Linked DNA regions of Pelodiscus sinensis. The protein of the gene in region 1 binds, or shares a complex with, the protein of each later gene. Links are inferred from orthologs where the notes say so. Each region holds a gene or a part of one and is shown in the gene's direction. Other genes may lie near its edges. The genes, in order: SPTLC1 and ORMDL3.

Region 1 (10,227 bases):
GGCACAACAAAAAAAGTCTTTGACTGCTTTCAGTGGTTTTCTTTAAGGTTGTTTTGTGCTACTGAAATAGCTCAAAATGGCTTTATCAGAGGATAGGCCCAGACATTTACTTATAACTCTACTACAAGTTGAACCTCCCAAATCCAGGACTCTCTGGTCCAGCAACATCCATGGTCCAGAAGTGCTCTGGAGGCAAGGAGTGGAAGCCAGCCAAGAGAATGCAGGTATTGGGGAGTCCTGGCTGGGCTAGCTGCAGCAGGGCCAGGGAATCCCCAGCGTCAGTGGGGCCAGGTGGCAGCCAAGAAATTATTGCCCTGGCAAGGGGAATCCCCAGTGGTAGCAGGACAGGCAACAAGGGAAGTCCCAGCCAGCCAGCATTAGCAGGACAGCAGCAGGGTGGGAAGGCCCAAGGAGAGGAGCCAGCAGCAGGGCAGCCAGCAGGGGGGAGTATTGACCTGTGATCTGGCAAAATCCCTGTTCCAAGACCACTCAGGTCCCAAGGTTCTGGACCACAGAGGTCCAATCTGTAGCATATTTACCTGGCATTGTTTGAGTCCTTCAGAAGGGCTCAGGGAAGGCGGATGGAGGTGTAGGTGGTGAGAAGGGGCTCTGGGAAGGGGATTCTGTGTGTGTGTGTGTAGTGGGGTGACCAGGAATGGTGGAGGCAGGCTTCGTGCCGTCCTCCCAAGATTCATACCAAGGCTGCTTGCTCTTCCCTTTTCTGTCCTTGTCAGGAAGTGAGAGCTGAGTGCACAGTCTGTTTTCCCCTTGTGCTCCTCAGACAGTGAAGAATGCAGCAAATTGTGCACTTTACCCTCACCCCTGACGAAGGGGTATAGGTAATTCTGTGTAGACACACCCTAACAGACAGACTCTCTCAAATGTATTGCAGATAATATGTAGTAGCTTATAGTCTCAAATCATGCTAAATCAGTCTGCTCACAGAATGAAGTGAACAGTCATCTTCCTTTTCTTCCTGGTATCAGCAGGCAAGAGTTGTAGAACTTGAGATTCTAGTACTCTTTTTCTTTAGGCTTAAGTGTTTTTCCCACAGAATAACCTTCCATTATTACTGTGTGTTGGGGCATGCCTGCTTGGCTTGAGGCTGAGCTCTTAACTGAGTTAGGACACCATTTGTACTTGATGCTGACATCCTCTTGGCTGAATGCCAAACTCCCAGCTGAACTTGGTTATAGAATTTATAGGAAACCAATTAGATCATCCAGTCCTTCTCTCTGCCAGTGCAGGATTGCACCCTGTTGTTTTAATGCTTTTCTAGTTTAGTTCTAAAAGTCACACCTGATGTGGTTTCTGCCAATTCTTCTGGGAGGCTTCCAACATATTGTTAGGAACTATTAAAAAAGAGATAGACAGTAATTCAGAAAATATCGTAATGCCACTTTAGAAATCCATGATACACCCATACCTTGAATGAGATATGCAGTGCTTGTTGCCCCCATTTCAAAAAATATAATAGAACTGGAAAAGGTACAGAGAAGTGCAAAAAATGAGTAAGGATATGGATGAGATTTTGGGTGTCTCCCCCCACAGGGCTTAACTTGAAATAAGTTTCGCAAATTGAGCTATGTCAATTGCATAGCTTATTTTGAAATAGCTTATTTCAAAATTGGGAGAATCTACACAGCACTTATTTTGAAATAGAGTACTCTTCCTCCGACTTCCCTAACTCCTTGTACAATGAGGGTGACAGGAGTCGGAGTAAGAAGTCCTCCAGTTTGACAGTATTTCACAATTATTTTGAAATAACTTCCTACTGTGTAGACATGGACTAAGTTATTTGATAACGCTAGTTATTTCAAAATAATGTTGCTGTGTAGACATACCTTCTGTATGATGACCGGGACTGTTCATCTTTGAAAAGATACAATTAAAGAAAGATATGAAATTATGAACGGCATGGAGAAAATGAATATGCAAGTGGTATTTACCCCTTCACATAACATAAGAATCAGGGATGACCAAATGAAATTAATAGGCAGCAGGTTTGAAACAAACATAAGGAAATACTTCTTCATACAATGCAGTCAACCTGTAGATTTTATTGCCAGGGATGCTGTTAAAGTCAAAAGTATAATTGGGTTAAAAAAAGAATTAGATAAGTTCACAAAGGATAGGTCCATCAATGACTATTAGGCAATATGATCAGGGATGCAGCCATAGGCTCCAGGTGACCTTAAACCTCTGATTGCAAGAAGCTGGGACTGGATGACAGGGGTTGGATCACTCATTAATTGTCCTGTTCTGTTCATTCCCTCTGAAGCATCTGGCACTAAGGATATTAAATTGAGGTTATCTGGCTAATTGTGTAGTTGATACATATTGTATCGATTACGTGATGTGTCGATAAGGACCGCTCTGCAGAGCCACAGTGGGGGTAGCTCCAGGAGCCAGCTTGAGCTGGAATTGAGCAGTCCTGGCTCATGCCGGCTCCGGGAGCCACCAGCACTATGGCTCTGCACTTGAAATGTAGAGGTGCAGCATCCCAGATCAATGCGAGATTTGTTGTTGCTTTGCAGCAACCTCCCCTATCCTTCCTCAGACCTCTCCTCTCTCCCCGCTGGCTGTAATAGAGGCAGCAGGAGGCAGACAGAGCGGTACTGCAGAGACAGTGCTGGGGCGAAACCAACTTTTAAGCCAGCTCCCGCAACCACAAGGTCCTGTCTCCCCCACCTTGTTGCCTCTCTGTGAGCAAACTTAGGAGGACTGGCCATGTCATCAGAATGGAAGACCACTGTCTCCCAAAACAGATATTGTATGGGCAGCTGAATCTGGACAAATGAAAGGTTTTCCATATAAGCTCTTCAAAGATAATCTGAAGAGCAACGTGACACTCTATATAACTCGGGGGGGCACCTTGTATCCCCCCCTTATTCCCTATTTTGTATATAATTGCGATCTTGCATATAAAGCATGCCATGTACAATATTAGGGGAAAATTCATGAACAGCTGAAACCCATTGTTTTATCTAAATATATGTCTCTTTAGTAAAAGCAATAAGGAATCCAGTGGCACCTTAAAGACTAACAATTTTATTAGGGCATAAGGTTTTGTGAGTTGCAACTCACTGTGTCAGATACATGAAGTGAAAGAATCAGATGGTAGGGATACAGATTCTTTCACTTCATGCATGTGACAAAGTGAGTTGCAACTCATGAAAGCTTAAGCCCTAGTAAAATTGTTAATCTTTAAGTTGCCACTGGATTCCTTGTTGTTTTTGCTGAAACAGACTAACACAGCTACCTCTCTGAAACAAATCTTTGGTGCATATGAAGTTAGGAGATTGTGTTATATGATTGTCACTAAAATGTGCTATAAGTTGGGGAACCTGCCATATATTAGATCTTCAGAGACAACAGCAATTAAAGTAACCAACAATTGGGCAGGTGTCAGAACAGCCATTGAGGGAGCTACAATGTGATGACCAGTCTCCACCCCACCCCTTATGGAGCACGCGGTGTGGCACTCTAATGGCAATTCTAAAAGGCCCAGGAGTCCAGCAACTGCTGCTGCCACAGTAGCAGTGGTGGCAGCCACAAGCCCTGGGCCCTTGAGAATCACCAGGCCCTGGGGCAATTGTCCTCTTCACTCCCTCTGTTGATGAGCCTGGTGGAGTCATATCCATAGCATTCTATGAGAATTGCAACAATATTGTCATCATCATCAGTGATGGATTACCAATGTCATAGCAAATGTGGCATAACAGAACGCAACATATGTATCATTAACATTTTCATGTACAATTAAATCATTCTGCTACTTAGAACTGATTAAGTTGTGATAGAGAGACGTTGCAGTTTGAAGAGGGCCAAGGTTTATGGGAAGGGTGATGAGAGACGGTAAATAAATTTGGTTTTGTAAGTGCTTGTCAAGAAACATCTGGCACATTTATCAAACTGTGAAAAACAGAAATGAAAAGATTCTGCACAGTGTCCTTTTAGCCTTTCTGCCAAATACATTTACTCAAGAACAGTGTTCCCTCTAAGATTTTCCATCCATGAGCAGAGTGAGCTTTGTCAGCTGCACCAACAAGGTCATATGCACTTGTTCAGATGTGTGCCACTGTGGCAACCAATGGCGCTGTTCCCCAAGACTCTCTCCCAGGTAGTGCACCCCTGCCACGTGACCCTACCAGGCGCTGGCCGCTGGAGCACCCCAGACCCCCCACCATGCCGCCCCGGTTCTGGCCCCAATAGGGCCATCAGAACATCTGCCAGACCAGTTCTCTACCACATGGCTCCAGTTCTGGCCCCAGCTGCAGCTGCTGGAGCAGCCACTGCGTGCCTGTGACCCAGCTCTGGCCCTGGCCCCAGCTGGGACTGCTGAAGGAGCAACTGCCAGTCACCCGCCATGCAGCTCTGGCTCTAGCCCCAGATGCTGGAGTAGCTGCCACCCACCACGTGTCTCGCAGCTCCAGCTCTGGGGCCAGGCCTGCATGGTAGCTGCCCTACTGCTCCTTGGGCAGGGCAGCCTCACACCCCAGAACAGTTGAGCAGCCACTGTGCAGCTTTGGTGAGGAGGTGGGCGGGGCTCAAATTATTGGTGTGTTCCTGTGCAGGTGGCACCTTTGGGGGAACAATGCTCAATAACCAGTCATATAATTTTATATAACTTTTCTTGGAAGTTTAGTAATTACCCAATGTGTTCTAAATAAAAGAATTTTGTGACAATGAACAAAACTAATCCTAGAAACTGTTTTCAAGTATTTGCCCCAACGCCATGAAAAAGAAAGAAATAGTGTTCAGCGGGGCACAACTAGGTGGCTTGCAGGACATGGCACACGTTGCAGGCCTACGGCCACAGGGGGACCCAAATCCAGAGGTGAAAAGCAGCATGCCCCGGTGCAGGGCTCTGGCAAAAAGAAGGTGGGGCACTTGGCTGCAGAGGCTCCCAACCAGCTCCTGGAGCTCTCCTCCAGGATGCTTTGATAAGAAGCAGGCAACCAGACAGGTGAAAGGATCTGGCTGAAGGTGTGTGTCCCTCCTCCCCTGTTGATGGCTGCCCCAACTCCTAGACTTGACCTGCAGCCTTTAGAGGGGGGTTGCAGCTGCATGCACCTGGAACTCTGCTGCTTTTCTTCTTCCCCTATCAAGGAGAAAGTGTGCAGCTTGTGTGCCCAGATTCCTGCACTTCCTACATCCCCCCTGCCCTTATTCCTGAATGCCCCAAAACTTTCCTGCTCTGAGGACTCTCTCCTGCTTTACTCTAATCCTCTGCTTTGATCCTCTGACACTTAAATTTCTTACAGGTACTGTTGTATTGAACGCCGCCTCCCAACACTCTGCCCTCAACTTTTCCCTCCTCCCATGGTGCAATGCGTACTTAAGCATGGCTATCTCTTTGCTCTAGTTCTGGGATCAGGACAGTTGTGTTTTCTTCTTTCAATGCATAATATTTTCCCTCATCTCTGCTCTTCGTGTCTCTCCTGCACGTTGTCCTGTCACTGATTGGCAGCAGTAGCCCTGCTCGTACCCCTGTTCTGTCTTACACGCAGAGCTTCGTTATCCCCCTCTCTCACGCACGGGACACAGACTAAGGGACAGACCAGTGTTAACCATAAGGAGGAAGTTGGTTTATTGTAGACATTCAGTCACGAGGTTATTTAAATGAAAGAGGTGTATTGTGATGTGTCAGGGACTACGCAGAACTAGCGACACGCACGTAAAGCGGATCCAGCAGGGACTCGAGCCCCCTATTACAAACGAGGACAATGTATATTCCTCACAGCTCTTGACACCCGCCCTCGGCAGAAATTTGCACCGCTAGGACCCTGGGTCACGGCCCGGGTGCCCCCAGTGAAGGCGGGGCCGCTGCTCGCGCAGGTAAAGGCAGCAAACGCGGCCAGTTGCCGGCCCTGCCCAGTGCGCAAGAGGCGCTGCGCAGGCCTGTCGGCGAGCACGGAGGAGGCCAGGGGCCGATTTATGCCCGTGGGGCGCGCCGAGCGCAGCGGCGCTAGGACCCGCGCGCGCAGCGGCCAATGGCCCCGCCCCGCCTTCCCCTCCCCAGGTCCTTGCTTAACGACACGCGGGTTTCGGGGGCGCGGCGGGGAAGGGCGTGGTCACGGCTCAGTGACGTATCAGCGTCTCCCCCGGTTCTGCCTGCGCCGGCTGACGTCAGTGCGCGCCGCGGCCTGGAAGCGGCGCAGGCGATGGCGGCGGCGGGGACGGGGCAGCAGTGGGTGCTGGTGGAGATGGTTCAGGCCTTCTATGAGGTGAGACTCCCGCCCTGGGGAGCGGGCGCTGGTGGCACCGGCGGGGGCGCTGCTTTGGCCGAGAGCGCAGTAGCTCCCCGCCCCCCTGCTTCCTGGGGGGTGGGCAGGTCCTCTTAAGTTGCGCGGGTCTGGCAGCGGGGCACGCTGGGGGAGGGGCATGGAGGGTGGTGGTTGGGGCCCGGCTCAGGAATCTCCTTGGCGCTGGGGCATGGTGGGTTCGTGTAACTGATCTTAGGATCCTAGACCGCTAGAACTGGAAGGGATCTGGAGAGTCCAGTCCCCTGCCCTCATGGCAGGACCTGGTGCCATCTAGACCCTCCCTGATAGACCTTTATCTAACCTGCTCTTAAATATCTCCAGAGATGGGGATTCCACACCCTCCCGAGGCAACTTATTCCAGTGTTTAACCACCCTGACAGTTAAGAAGTTTTTCCTAATGTCCAACCTAAGCCTTCCTTGCTGCAGTTTAAGCCCACTGCTTCTTGTCCTATCCTCAGAGGCCAAGGAGAACAATTTTTCTCCCTTCTCCTTGTGACACCCTTTTAGATACCAAAGACCCTATCATGTCCCCTCTCAGTCTTCTCCTTTCCAAACTAAACAAGCCCAGTTCTTTCAGTCTTCCTTCATGGGTCATGCTTTTTAGATCTTCAATCATTCTTGTGCTCCTCTTTGGACCTTCTCCAATTTCTCCACAACTTTCTTGAAATATGGTGCCCAGAACTGGACACAGTACTCCACTTGAGGCCTAATCAGCGCATCTACTCTGATTAGGCTTCAAGTGGAAGAATGAGTACTCGTATTTTACTCACAACACTCCTGTTAATGCATCCCAGAATTATGATTGGTTTTTTTGCAACAGTCACACTGTTGACTCATATTTAGCTTGTGGTCCACTCTAGCCCTTAGATCCCTTTCTTCAGTATTCCTTCCTAGACAGTCGCTTCCCATTCTGTATGTGTGAGACTGATTGTTCCTTCCTAAGTGGAGTACTTTGCATTTGTCTATATGAAACTTCATCCAATTTACTTCAGACCATTTCTCCAATTTGTCCAGCTCATTTTGAGTTATCCTCCAAAGTAGTTGCAACCCTGCAAACTTAATAAGCATGCTCTCTATCCCAATATCTAAATCGTTGATGAAGATATTGACTAGAACCGGTCCAAAACAGACCCCTGCAGAACCCCACTTGTTATGCCCTTCCAGCAGGATCGTGAACTGTTAATAACTACTGTGAGAGTGATTATTCAGCCAGTTATGCACCCATCTTATAGTAGCCCCATCTAAGTTTTATTTGCCCAGTTTATTGATAAGCAGGGCTCAACAAATAATGCAAGCTACTCGCCTGTGGTGAGTAGATTGCAACCTGGAAGAGCCGGGTTTGGGCGATCTGTGCATGCGCAGAAGGATCTGCACATTCACAGATCACCGGACAGCGTGGCTGGCAAGCGGGGCTCGCTGTGGTTCAGCGAGCCCTATTGATAAGAATATCATGTGAGACTGTATCAAGTGCCTTACTAGAGTCTAGGTATACCATATCCACTGCTTCTCCCTTATCCACAAGACTTCTTATCCTGTCAAAGAAAGCTATCAGATTGGTTTGAAATGATTTGTTTTTTATAAATCCATGCTGGTTGTTCCCTATCACCTTATTATCTTCCAGGTATTTGCAGATAAATTCCTTAGTAACTTACTCCATTATCTTTCCTGGCACAGAAATTTAACTGACTGATCTGTAGTTTCCTGGTCTGTTCTTCTCTTTTTATAGATGGGCACTATATTTGCCCTTTTCCAGCCTTCTGGAATTTCCCCTGTCTTCCATGATTTTTCAAAGATAACTAAAAGCTCAGATCTCTATCAGTTCTTTGAGTATTCTAGGATGCATTTTATCAGGCCCTAGTGACTTGCAGACATCTAACTTTTCTAAGTGATTTTTAACTTGTTCTTTTTTTATTATTATTATCTTCTAAACCTACCTCTTCCCCACTAGCATTCACTGTTAGGCATTCCTTCATCATCAGACTTCTTGGTAAAGACGAAACAAAGAAGTAATTAACCTCTTCCATTTCCAAGTTTCTTGTTACTGTTTCTCCCTCCTCACTGAGCAGTGGGACTACCCTGTCCTTGGTCTTCCTCTTGCTTCCAATATATTTATAGAATCTTGTCTTGTTTCTCTTTGTCTGTAGTTAGTTTGAGCTTGTTTTGTATCTTTGCTTTTCTAATCTTTTCCCTGCATACCTGCATTGTTTATATTCATCCTTTGTAATTTGTCCTAGTTTCCACTCTGACTCCTTTTTTATTTTTAGATCATGCAAAATCTCCTGGTTAAGTCAAGGTGACCTTTTGCCGTACTTCCTGTCTTTCCTATGCAGCGGAATAGCTTGTTTTTGGGCCCTTAATAATGTCCCTTTGAAAAACTGGCAACTCTTGTCAGTTGTTTTTCCCTTTAGTCTTGCTTCTCATGGCTCTACCAGCTCTCTGAGCTTACCAAAATCTGCCTTCCTGAAATCCATTGCTTTGCCCACAGGGAATTGGGCAGTGAACCAGTCTAAGGGTGCGATAGCTGGCGATCAGTGCCCTGGCTCACTTCTTGGAGATGTAAGCAGGGCTCAGAGAAGAACAAATTGAATGAGTAGTGGCTTGGAGATACACTAACAGTAGATCAGGAATGCCCTGATCCAAGTACAAGGTGACATTCAGCCAAATTAAAAAGCAAGAAATTTGCAACTAATAAAAGGACTTCTTGTCTTATTAGCAATATGCATGTTTAGTTGGTTAGCAATATGCATGTTTAGTTGGTTAAGTGGTAGAGGCTGCCTCTTCAGCTGGGCTGGTACAGCACCTGCTTGTAGCAGGCCAGTGCACCCCATAAGCAGGGAGCTGTATTGGTGTCCTGGCCATACCAAGCTCTGTCCATGGCTTGTGCAGTTGCCCTGCAGGTAGGGTCTGCTCCTGCTGGGATGCCGTGGTAGTCCCTGCCTATGGGGCACTCTGGCCTTCCAGGTGCAGGGGCTGCCTAGAGGAGAGGGCCATGCTGCAGCTGGGCTAGAGTGGCCCCTCCCACCTTCACCCCCTTTAATCAGTAACAATATTTTTATTATTTTTACATCCCTATTTTTTTATATGACCTGTCATTTGACTGTGGAACTTGCTACCATAGGATACAGAGGCAGCAGCACAGAGTGGAAGGCAGTGACTCAGGAGTGAGGCTGGAATATACTGGCTGCTGGCCCCACCCCTAGGGACTATAGAATAGTCAACTAACCGATAAGAATTCATGAAGTTACTCAACTATTCAATTAACTGATATTTAACATCCCAATCAGAGACTGGATGCTGGAGTAGATGTAGGTGGGGTCTGATCTGGAATAGCATTTGCTATATTCCTATATTGACAAACTATGCATAGTTTGTCATGTCAAAGATAAAGCATAGTGACAGTTGTGTCTCGAGGTAAATCTAGTATCCATCTATGGTCAGATTTTACATTCACCTTTAGCACATGGTATAAATTCTCATCAGTATTATTGACCAGTTCTGACTTGGAGATGGCTTGCTGCAAATTGTGACTTATTTCTGCTGTTACATACTATGTTATGTTTTGGTGTCCACTATTTCTACCACATTTATTTTTTGAGGCAGAAATCTACTGTTTTAGTAAGTCTCTTGTCTTATTACCTCCACACTTAGTTTACATGTTGGTACTATTATTGAAAGGCAAAGATTTATTTATTCATACTCTGAATATTTTTTTCTCTCAAGATGGATTCGTTGTCGTTTATGCTAATGGCAAAAATGGATACTTATTTCAGAGTTTTTAAAACAGGCATTTCTGTCTTGTAGATCCTGATGTCTTGGTTGCTGCTTCATAGGAAAAGGTGTTGCTCTGATCTCTTCCATCCCCCACACAATTTAGGGGGTGACCTACTTCCAGTATGGAGTCTTATTTGAGTTACCTAGTAGATCAAACAGTGATGCAGCAGCAACTCTGACATTGATG
Region 2 (10,016 bases), on another chromosome or scaffold:
TGGAGATGGCACTGTCACGGCTCCAGAATCGTTGGTCCATTGCCTGGCACTTCAGTGAAGCAGCGGTGAGAGTTTTGTGGGTCTCAGTGAAGAGTTGCCCACATGCCCCAAAAAAACACCCACCCAGGCAGCACTAAATTGTGGTGTCATGGAAGATGCTACAGGTTAATCATGCCGGGGGGGGCGGGATGGTAATTAGGCAATTGTTAAAAAAAAATCTCCCAGGTCAAAATGGCCACGTCGAGTGTGATTAATGCGGTGGAAAGAGCTGGGCTGTCACACAAGAACACACATTCACACAATCGTAAACACGCGGATTTGCACGCGCACACATAGGCACCATACTCGCACGCATATTCACTCGCACGCCTAGTGCGCTGAGGCTGTCTCGTACACCCACATAAATGTAATTTACTCCCATACACACACGCTAACGTAGCCACACACACTCTTCTCACACACAACCCTAAATTAACCCCGGCTCCCTGTCAACAGGCTGGCTAGTTTGGCACAGGTTGCTAACATCACTCCGGCTGACAGCCAGGTGACAAACGACAAGGAACGACCCATCTCTCTGTGACCAAGCCACACCTTGCATGTGTTCCTGAGAGCGTGACTGGGGGCTCCAACTCAGCAGTAGCGGGGCTAGGATACGGCAGAAAGCAGCTGAGTTGTCAAGTGCAGATCTGCATTGATTTCTGGGGCTAGCCCAGGAAAACCTCAATGACTTTCATTCAGATCACCAGCAGCAAGCTCGCCATGTTGTTGTTCTTGCTGCTTGAACTCCAGTCCAAGAGAACAAAGTGTCTGTGGCTAATTTTTGCACAGTGAGGGTGGAAAAAAAAAGAACAGATGAAAAATTGGGCTGAAATGAAATTCAGTAAGTAGGGGCGGAAGGGGACTGACAGCCCAGTGTGCAGGAGCGTAGGGCTGGAATAGTAAGGACATAAGAACGGCCACACTGGGTCAGACCAAAGATCCATCTAACCCGGTGCCCTGTCTCCCACGTGCACCAGCGGGAGTGAACAGAACAGGGAATCATCAAATGATCCTTTTCCTGTCATCCATTTCCAGCCTCTGACAAACAGAGGCTAGGGACACCACTCCTGCTCATCCTGCTTAATAGCCATTGATGGACCTAAGCTCCATAAATTTCTCTAGTTCTTTTTTGATCCCTGTTAAAATCCTGGCCTTCACAACATCCTCTGGCGAGGAGTTCCACAGGTCGACTGTACACTGTGTGAAGAAAAAGGTCCTTTCATTTGTTTTACGCCTGTTACCTATTCATTTCATTTGGTGACCCCTACTTCTTATAACAAGTTAATAACTTTTCCTTACTCACTTTCTCCTCACCAGTTATGATTTTATAAACCTCGATCGTATCCCTCACAATAGGCATAGACCTTTGCATGCTTTGTGCGTCTTGTAAGCTTTTCCCACCAAGCAGCAGCAGGGGGTGCCAGGCTGTTATTTGGAAACCTGTTCTCCAGATGAACTGCATCTCTGTCAGACATTTAACAGCCTGGCACCCTCTGCTGCTGCTTGGTGGGAAAAGCTCACAAGCCGCACAAAACATGCAAAAGAATACGCCTATTGCTGGACTTTAGCTCCAAGGTGCTTAGTTCTGATTATTTAGCACCATTAATTGCTGATTATTAATGCAGGGCTCAGACGGGCTCCCTTTTAGCAGAATTCAGAGTGGAGACAAGCTCCCGACCTTGGCCCAAAGATGCCATAGTGCATCCGACTGTAAATTGCAGGATTGTTGGACAGGGGTGGCACAGTGCCACTGGTTAGTGAATGGTTATTTCACACACACAGTCTCAGACCCTGGCCCTGCAAAGCATTTAAGCACCTGCTTAACGTTAAGCACGTGAGCAGTTCAAGGGAGGTCAACAGAACTTCTCGTTGGTTTAAAAATAAGGGGCATGCTTAAGTGCTTTCTGGATCACAGCCACAGCTGGTAGAACACTAAATTACCTGCAATTATTATTTCTATTAACAGCTTATGTTAATTATTTCCTGTTGTTATAGCACACCTAATTCCATAGGATTCCAAAGGGCTGTACAGACAGCGTGTACATGGCGGGACTGAAATGCAGCCACCTCGGGGGTGGAGGCCAACAGCCAACTCGCACAAACCTGCGGGATGGGGAGGGAAAGTTTGACCAAACGCCCCCAGGTCAACCCCCCACTCTTAAGAGAGGGGCGATGAGTTCTTTAAAATGAAAAATTAATTCAAAATTTGAAACAGGGACAATAACTCAGGTCAAGAGGGGCTTTTTTGGTCTATTTTCCCTTGACCCAGAGGTGAAAGGGAGGCGCTGTGCCCGGGTAAGAGCCGGCTGGGGCACTCTGTTCCTTTCAAGGGCCAGCGGAGGGCACACTCCAACCTGGGACAACGAGAGGGGCGGGCGGCAGCAGATACCTCCATCTGGCTTCTGGCCCAGCACCAACCCCCATCTGACTGCCCCAGTCTGGCCCCCGTGTGGCTGCAGGTGGCACCCCTTCTGCTGCAGCATGGGTAGGGGGGGAGGCCATGCTCCGCCTGTGGCGATCCTGGCCCTGCTTTTCATCCAGCTCATGCTGCGCAGGTAGCCCAGCCTCAGCCAGGTAAGGTAACCCATCTCACGCCACCTCCCCATGCTCTACTTCCTACCCTCAGCAGCCTGCCTTCTGCATCCCAGTCCTTTACCCCATGTGCCCTTCTACACACAATCTCCATCCTAGACCCCCCACTGGTGGGACCACCCCACCTTTAGCAGATGCCAGCTCCAGCCAGGGCAAGGGGTGGTGGCTGCCAGGGCCACAACCCCACAGTCCAGAGACTGATGCCTTATCTACCCTACATTCAGCTGGTGTCAGCTCTAGCCCAAGGGAAGCTGGTGGGGGCAGGGCCCAACTGGGGCTGCATCGTGGCCCCGCTCAAGTACACCCGTTTAAGCCACACCACCACCCTTCTGTCAACAGCTGCCTTACCCTGCCTACCTTCAGCTTATATCACAATTGCTGCGTCTTTGCAATGTGAACATAAGAACGGCCACACTGGGTCAGACCAAAGGTCCATCCAGCCCAGTCTCCTGTCTAATTAACAGTGGTCAATTACTGAACAGGTAATGATCAAGTGATCTCTCTCCTGCCATCCATCTCCACCCTCTGACAAACAGAGGCTAGGGACACCATTCCTTACCCACTCATTAATGGACCTAACCTCCATGAATGTATCTAGTTCTTTTTTAATCCTTGTTATAGTCCTAGCCTTCACAACCTCCTCAGGCAAGGAGTTCCACAGGTTGACTGTGCGCTGTGTGAAGACCTTCCTTTTATTTGTTTTAAACCTGCTGTCCATTAGTTTCATTTGGCGGACCCTAGTTCTTATATTATGGGAACAAGTACATAACTTTTCCTTATTCATGCTCTCCACACCACTCATGAGTTTATATGCCTCTATCATATCCCCCCTTAGTCTCCTCTTTTCCAAGATGAAAAGCTCTAATCTTTTTAATCTCTCCTCATATAAGACCCATTCCAAACCCCTAATCATTTTAGTTGCCTTTCTCTGAACCTTTTCTAATGCCAGTATATCTTTTTTGAGATGAGGAGACCACATCTGTATGCAGTATTCCAGATGTGGGCGTACCGTGGATTTATAGAAGGGTAATAAGATATTCTCCGTCTTATTCTTTATCCATTTTTTAATGATTCCTCACATCCTGTTTGCTTTTTTGACTGCTGCTGCACACTGCGTGGACGTCTTCAGAGAACTATCCACAATGACTCCAAGATCTCTTTCCTGATTAGTTGTAGCTAAATTAGCGCCCATCATATTGTATGTATACTTGGGGTTATTTTTCCAATGTGCATTACTTGTGGACTTCTTTACTCACTTGATTTCTCATTCCTGCAGCTGGAGCCTCATAACTGCATAGAGCCCCATTTGATTTTAGCTGAGGGCCATCTGGGAACGGGCTCCACCCAATGCAGGCTCCAGTCTGGCTCTTGTGAGTAAAGAGATGAGCGTTTGCAGGACTGAGCTCACAGACCATGTACGCTCTTCAGGGCAAAGACTGTTTTTGCCGCTGCCCCTTGTAGCATGGGGGCAGCCCCACTGAATTCTGTATGTTTACTGACACACCATCTTATTAAGTACACACTTCCACTTCCAGTTCTGCAAGCATTTATTCCCATGCTTAACTTTACTACAAATTTCAGAGGGGTAGCCGTGTTACTCTGTTTCAGCAAAACTAATGGGGCTGTGGCACTTTAAAGATTACTTGCATCTGACAAAGTGGGGTCCAGCCCGCGAAAACGTATGTCTTAATAAATTACTCTGTAAGATGCCATAGGACTCCTTGTTGTTTTTACTACTACAATGATTTCAAGGGATTCATGATAGGTGGTGGAATCTCCATCCCTAGAGGTTTTTAGGTCTCAGTTTAACAAAGCCCTGGCTGGGATGATTTAGTTGAGATTGGTCCTGCTTTGGGCAGGGGCTGGACTTGATGACTCCTGAGGTCTCTTTCAGTCCTATGATTCTATGAAAGTGATGTGGGCATAAGATCAGGATTGTAGCTTTTTGCTGGCCTAAAGTGCGTACCGTGCAGCGGCGGGCATGCTGCTGATGGTCAGCAAACCATAACGCAATAAAAGGCCAAGCGTGGGAGGCTGACAAGTCACAAGAGAATCACGGAGGTGCGTGCACACAATAAAAGATCAGAGAGGAGGCCATGTTAGTCTGGAGCTGCAAAAACAAAATGGGTTCCCATTCTCTGATTATTTTTTTATTAAAACAATGAGGAGTCCTGCAGCACCTTAAAGACTAACAGATTTATTTAGACATAAATTTTCGTGGGCAAGTCGGATCTGATGGTGTGGGGGTTTTGCCCACAAAAGCAGCTGCCAAAACACTCTTCCTTTCCTAGTGCAAACGAATGGTTCTTATCAGCCTCTTTTAACTATTTAACTGTTTTTTAAGTTTTTCCTGTTACGGACTGGCTGGGCTATCCCTTTGAAACTTATCTACCAGCCCCCCTCCAATTTTGTTCCTTCCCTCCACTCCTCCTCCCTCCTTCCCTTATTTATTCTTGTTCCTGGACTTCCAACACTCTGGTCATCTGAAGAAGTGGGCTGTGCCCACGAAAGCTCATGTTTTGTTAGTCTTTAAAGTGCTACCGGACCATTTGTTGTTTTTTAAGGTTTTCCAAAATAAATCTGTTGGTCTTTAAGTTGCCTCAGGAGTCCTCGTGGTTTTAATTAAAAAAAAAATCAGAGAATGGGAACCCATGCACGGGGAAATACTAAAATGAAGGAGAACACGAAAGACTCATGATAACCACAGGGCAGCGAGCGGCGCGGCAGGGGACGCGGAGCGGCGCAGCCCGGCCTGGAGCCATGGGACATGTGGGAGTCCCGGCCAACCCGGAGGAACTACATTTCCCAGGGCGCCCCGCGGCCGCGTGGGTTGCTGGGGCGCGCGGGCGGGGCCTCCAGCTGCTGTGTTGTCTTCAGCGGCGGCGGGGAGCGGAGCCGGGCGGCGGGGAGAGACCCCCACGGCGAGCCCGGGGCGGCGGGCCGAGAGCCGGCTGCGCGGTGAGCAGGGGCTGGGGCGTGCGGGGGGCACAAGGACCTAGAAGAGGACTTGGGGGGTGCAGGGAGCCGGCAGGGGAAGGGACCTGGGGGGGCCTGGAGGCAAAGGGGTGCAGGGGCCTCGGGGGGAGCCGAAAGAGGAAGGGACCTGGGGGTACCCAGGAGGGGAAGAGATCTGGGGACAAGGGGGGTGCAGAGACCTGGGGGTACCCAGGAGGGGAAGAGATCTGGGGACAAGGGGGTGCAGAGACCTGGGGGTACCCAGGAGGGGAAGAGATCTGGGGACAAGGGGGGTGCAGAGACCTAGGGGACCCAGAAGGGGAAGAGATCTGGAGACAAAGGGGTACAGAGAGCTGGGGGTACCCAGGAGGGGAAGGGATCTGGAGACAAAGGGGTGCAGAGACCTGGGGGTACCCAGGAGGGGAAGGGATCTGGAGACAAAGGGGTGCAGGGTTGTGGGAGGACCCAGAAGGGGAAGGGACCTGGGGGGGATACAGAAGGGGAAGGGATGTGGGGCTAAGGGGCTGCAGGGACTTGGGGGGACCTGGGAGGGGAAGGGAGACTGGGGGCAAAGGGAGGAAGGGACTGGGGGGGGGGGTATTGGGGAAGGGTGTGCAGGGACCTGGGAGGGGAAGGGAAACTGGGGGGGCCCTGGGAGATGCAGGAGACTAAGGGGTGGGGAGAATCCAGTGATTCGGGGACCTGGGAGGGGAAGGAACTGCGGGGGGGAATTGGAGTAGAGGGTTGCAGGGACATGTGGGGAACCAGGGCAGAGCAGTGTAGGCTTTGTGGGGAGCAGATGGGAGAGGCAAGGGTGTTGGGGTGCCAGGCTTGGGAGAAGTCCCAGTGATGGAAGGGAAGGAGCAGGGGGCTAAGAGAGAGTGGGGGTGCTGGATTCTGGGCAATGGAGCTGGAATGGGGGCAGTTCTGGGAAACCTGCCACGAGATGTTGGAAAGCCGGCTGGGAGAGCAGTGCCTACTGGGTGGGGGGAGGCTGGGAAGCCTGCCAGGGCACCGCGACCTTTGGCTGTTTTTTTGTGCATGTCTGGTGTTAGGCCTTTGGACCGTATCTCAGCGCTCCAGAGTGGCTTGCTGTGTCGAGCTGAGGGTTTAGGGCGGGGGTAGGAGCTGGAGCTTCCAGGCTGCCTTTTACCAAACTCTGCAGGCAGCACAAGGAAGGTCCCCAGAGGAACCATGGCTCTTTGGGGGAGCCTGGAAAGCAACAAGCCAAAACACAGCTGGGATCCCTGCAGGAGAGGGGTGGAGATTTGAGAGCGTTCTGCGCAGTCAGTGGCAGCATCTCCGGCTTTCTGGGGGGGGTGATGGAAGGAGGGGCTGCTGGTCTCCAGAGAGGGGTGACTTGCTGGCAAGTTAGCCCCAGTTCTAGGCTCTCCACAGAAGAGATACAGTCCTGAGAAGTCCCCTACAAATCCAGCCCCATCCCCCCACAATCACTGACCTACTGAGGCCTTTTGGTCCCTACCTGTGACAGCCTCTTTGGGGTCTCCCCTGTGGCTGGCACCTCCATTCGATCCAGAAAGGTCCAACTTCTCTGCCAGCCTGAGCTGGATTTGAACCCGTGACCTCCAGGTGAATGGCTCTGTATCCCATCCCCCTTCGTCCTCCCCTCAGTGAGTCACCCAGAGCCTCTCAGCTGAGCCCTGAGATCAGATCCCATCCAGTTGTGCCGCTAGAGCAGGGAACCTGCGCCGGCAGCGGTTCCCTATTGTGCAATATTGTGGAATGAACTTGCACAGCTGGGCAGCGACAGGTCCCTGAATTGTCACAAAGAGGTTAATGGTGGGGGGGGGGGGGAGCAGGAGGTGGGGAGAGCAGAGCCCTTCCGCAGCTTACAGGCAAACAGCCTGTAATACCCACAGCTTCTTGGCAGTAGCTATCTCGGGCGGGCGCAGCTGTGGGAAATCCCCAGGGGAGGCCTGCTCTGTCCGTGGGACCTTCACTTAGTCTCTAGGCTGGACAGCTGGGATGTGAAGCCCCTATAGGGAGTTCACTTCTGGCTCTGGTAAGTGCTTCCTCTCCCCCACTCCTGCCTCTTGAGCATGCTTCTCCAGCACAGCCTGCCACAAGAGTGGGCAGACTCCGGCCCCGGGGTTGGATCTGGCCCCAAGTATTTCCCTCTGGCCTTCCCAGCTGATTAGCAGAGGTGCAGACTTACAGCTGGCAGTGTGTGTTCGGCTGCCCCTCCTCCCACCTGGCTCCCAGGATTTTCCTGCTAACTGTGCAGGAACTGGCTGAAGTCAGGGTGTTCCCCTCCCCTGTACCCCATTTCTGCAGAGCAGGGGTTGTAGATGGAGACACACAGTCAGCAGAGTTGTACAAATCAAGCCTGTGAAATAGCAGTGAGGGGGCGGGCAGCAGACTAGGACAGATTTTCCTTAAAGAAACAGAGGTGGCTTCTCTCAAACTTAGCCAGCACCCACTCCCAGTCTGTGCCCCCCCCCACACAATCACTGTCACATCCACACTGCCACGCATACTTTCCTGTCCCTTTGCCGCACGTACTCAATCTGTGTCAGAAAGTCTATTTCTCACACATAAAATGTCACACACACACTCTCTCTAGCCCCAGCCCTTCCACCCAAAGCCCCGCCCCTTCAAGGGGGGGCAGAGGTGGCCTGCGATTACATACCAAAATTTGTGAATTCCCCCCCCCCCCCTTCCATGAAAACAATTGCCCACCTCGGCCTGCAATCTTCACCTCCCTTAGGTTGCCAACTTTTTGAGGCAGGAGCCATTTTTATTTTGTGCTTGTACAGCTCCAAGCACCACAGGGTCTGGTGCTGACCCAGGCCTGTGGCTCCTAAATGCTACCACAGCATGGCTAAACAATACTGTTCTGCAGCCATGTTGCTGTTTCTAAGGGGAAACTCAAGCTGCTGGTAGCTTTAATGGGGGAGCCCCTCCTGTTCCATGAGATCATTCTATGCTGGAAAGTCCAGCCTCCAGAAGTGACTGTGGGCCCCATAAACATCTCTTAGGTGGCTCAGGTAATCAGAGGGGGGGTGATGCGAGCGATGCCAGCCAGCTCCCCTCAAAAGTCTGAGTCAGTGTTTGCTGTAGCAAACCGTGTTCCAGCAAGAGCACCCCAGATGGGTGCCCTTCTCCCTTGGCACCCCCCGAGGCTGGACCCGGACATTGCTCAGGATCGGTCGGACGATGCGTTCTGGAAACGGGACTGGGAAGCTGCAAGTTGCGACTCCAGAGTCGGTCCTGCTTGTAGCTTTCAGTTCAGGCCCCTCGCTCCCGTTAAGGAGCGCGCACGGGGGCGGACGGGAGACGCTGGCAGAAGCCGAGCGCTTCCGTGTGGTCTGAGGGGCACCCCCTTCGTCCAGCACTGCCGCTGGTTGCTGCGTGGGGAGGAGTGAGCGACTTCCCCTTTCTGGAGAAACCTTGGCATCCTGTCGAACTGGGCTGCTGCTGCTTTGGGGGGCTGTCCGGTGCCTGATTGGAGAGCATTTGTGTGAGCATGGGGTGTGACCAGTAATTACTGTTCCAGTCCCCCCCTCCCAAAAACCCCCTAGACTCTCCTCCTTGCTACCCGGTGGAGTTGGTCTCTAGTGTGTTCTCTTCCAATCAGTCTGGAAAGCACCTCCCAGCACATCCCACACCTGATTTCCCCCACTGCATCCCCCCGTGTCTGCTCACTCCTATTAGGGGTGTAATAGTGGAGTCGATTACCCGATAAGCAAAAGCTTATAGGTTAATGCTAGAGACTACACGCATTTCCCTTCCCTCCCCCCCAGTGAATTCTATAGCAAGCTGGCCAGCAGCTCGGCTCAGTCCTGGCTCATACCGGGACCTACCCTGGCTGCAGCTCTGCATTTAAAGTGTATTAGGAGCTGGGCAGACAGACAGCCCTGCTCAGTTCCAGCTTGTGCCAGGTCTGGTAGCTCAGACCCCCACCCCCGACAAGGGCTGCTGCCATTGCTGCCTCTATCAGAGGCGATAGCACAGGGTGACAGGCAGCCGGATCGTGACCAGAGCAGATTTTTAACCTGGCTCCCTTCACAGACCAGCTCCTGCCTGGCACCCCGTGCTGCTGCCTCTGATACAGCGGCAGCAGCATGGAGTGGCAGGTGGCTCCTGGGGAGTGAGGTGCACTGGCTACTGGCCCCGCCCCCAGGGACTATAGAATAGTCACCTCACTGATCAGAATTCATGAGGTTACTCGACTTATCGATTAACCGACATTTAACATCCCTAACTCCTACCTGTGTAAAGTGGGTGCAAAAAGTGATTGCCGGGTGCAACAACGCAGCCCACATGATCTCAGGGGTTTCGGTAGCATCCTGGGAGGTACGTTAGACTTGGCCTGGTACTAACCAGCTAATTAAGTGCTTCCCAAGTGAATCTGGCACAGGGCTAGAAGGGCTTGTTCCATGCTTCCAGCTGGTACTCGGCACACGTGG

What was found.
Region 2: the proteins of SPTLC1 (region 1) and ORMDL3 are in contact, whole or in part, in a cryo-EM structure (PDB 7K0N), measured with the Homo sapiens proteins. The link is inferred for Pelodiscus sinensis from reciprocal best matches to the Homo sapiens genes SPTLC1 and ORMDL3. Residues at the interface, in NP_006406.1 of Homo sapiens: Ala16, Leu17, Ala20, Pro21, Tyr23, His24, Leu27, Glu28, Leu31, Ile32, Trp34, Ile35, Leu38, Leu39, Ser41, Lys42, Thr43, Tyr44, Lys45, Leu46, Gln47; in NP_001307730.1 of Homo sapiens: Gly92, Val93, Gln94, Phe95, Thr96, Ala97, Lys100, Thr103, Ile104, Ile107, Tyr110, Phe111, Ser114, Tyr119, Gln121, Phe124, Thr128, Leu131, Met132, Leu139, Pro140, His143.

The regions. Positions count from the first base shown.
Region 1 is NC_134716.1:49,112,780-49,123,006, reverse strand, and holds the start of SPTLC1 (serine palmitoyltransferase 1), read left to right. Parts: upstream 1-5,981; 5' UTR 5,982-5,996; coding exon 5,997-6,230; intron 6,231-10,227. UniProt on the Homo sapiens protein: Component of the serine palmitoyltransferase multisubunit enzyme (SPT) that catalyzes the initial and rate-limiting step in sphingolipid biosynthesis by condensing L-serine and activated acyl-CoA (most commonly palmitoyl-CoA) to form long-chain bases.
Region 2 is NC_134739.1:11,201,687-11,211,702, reverse strand, and holds the start of ORMDL3 (ORM1-like protein 3), read left to right. Parts: upstream 1-5,441; 5' UTR 5,442-5,589; intron 5,590-10,016. UniProt on the Homo sapiens protein: Plays an essential role in the homeostatic regulation of sphingolipid de novo biosynthesis by modulating the activity of the serine palmitoyltransferase (SPT) in response to ceramide levels.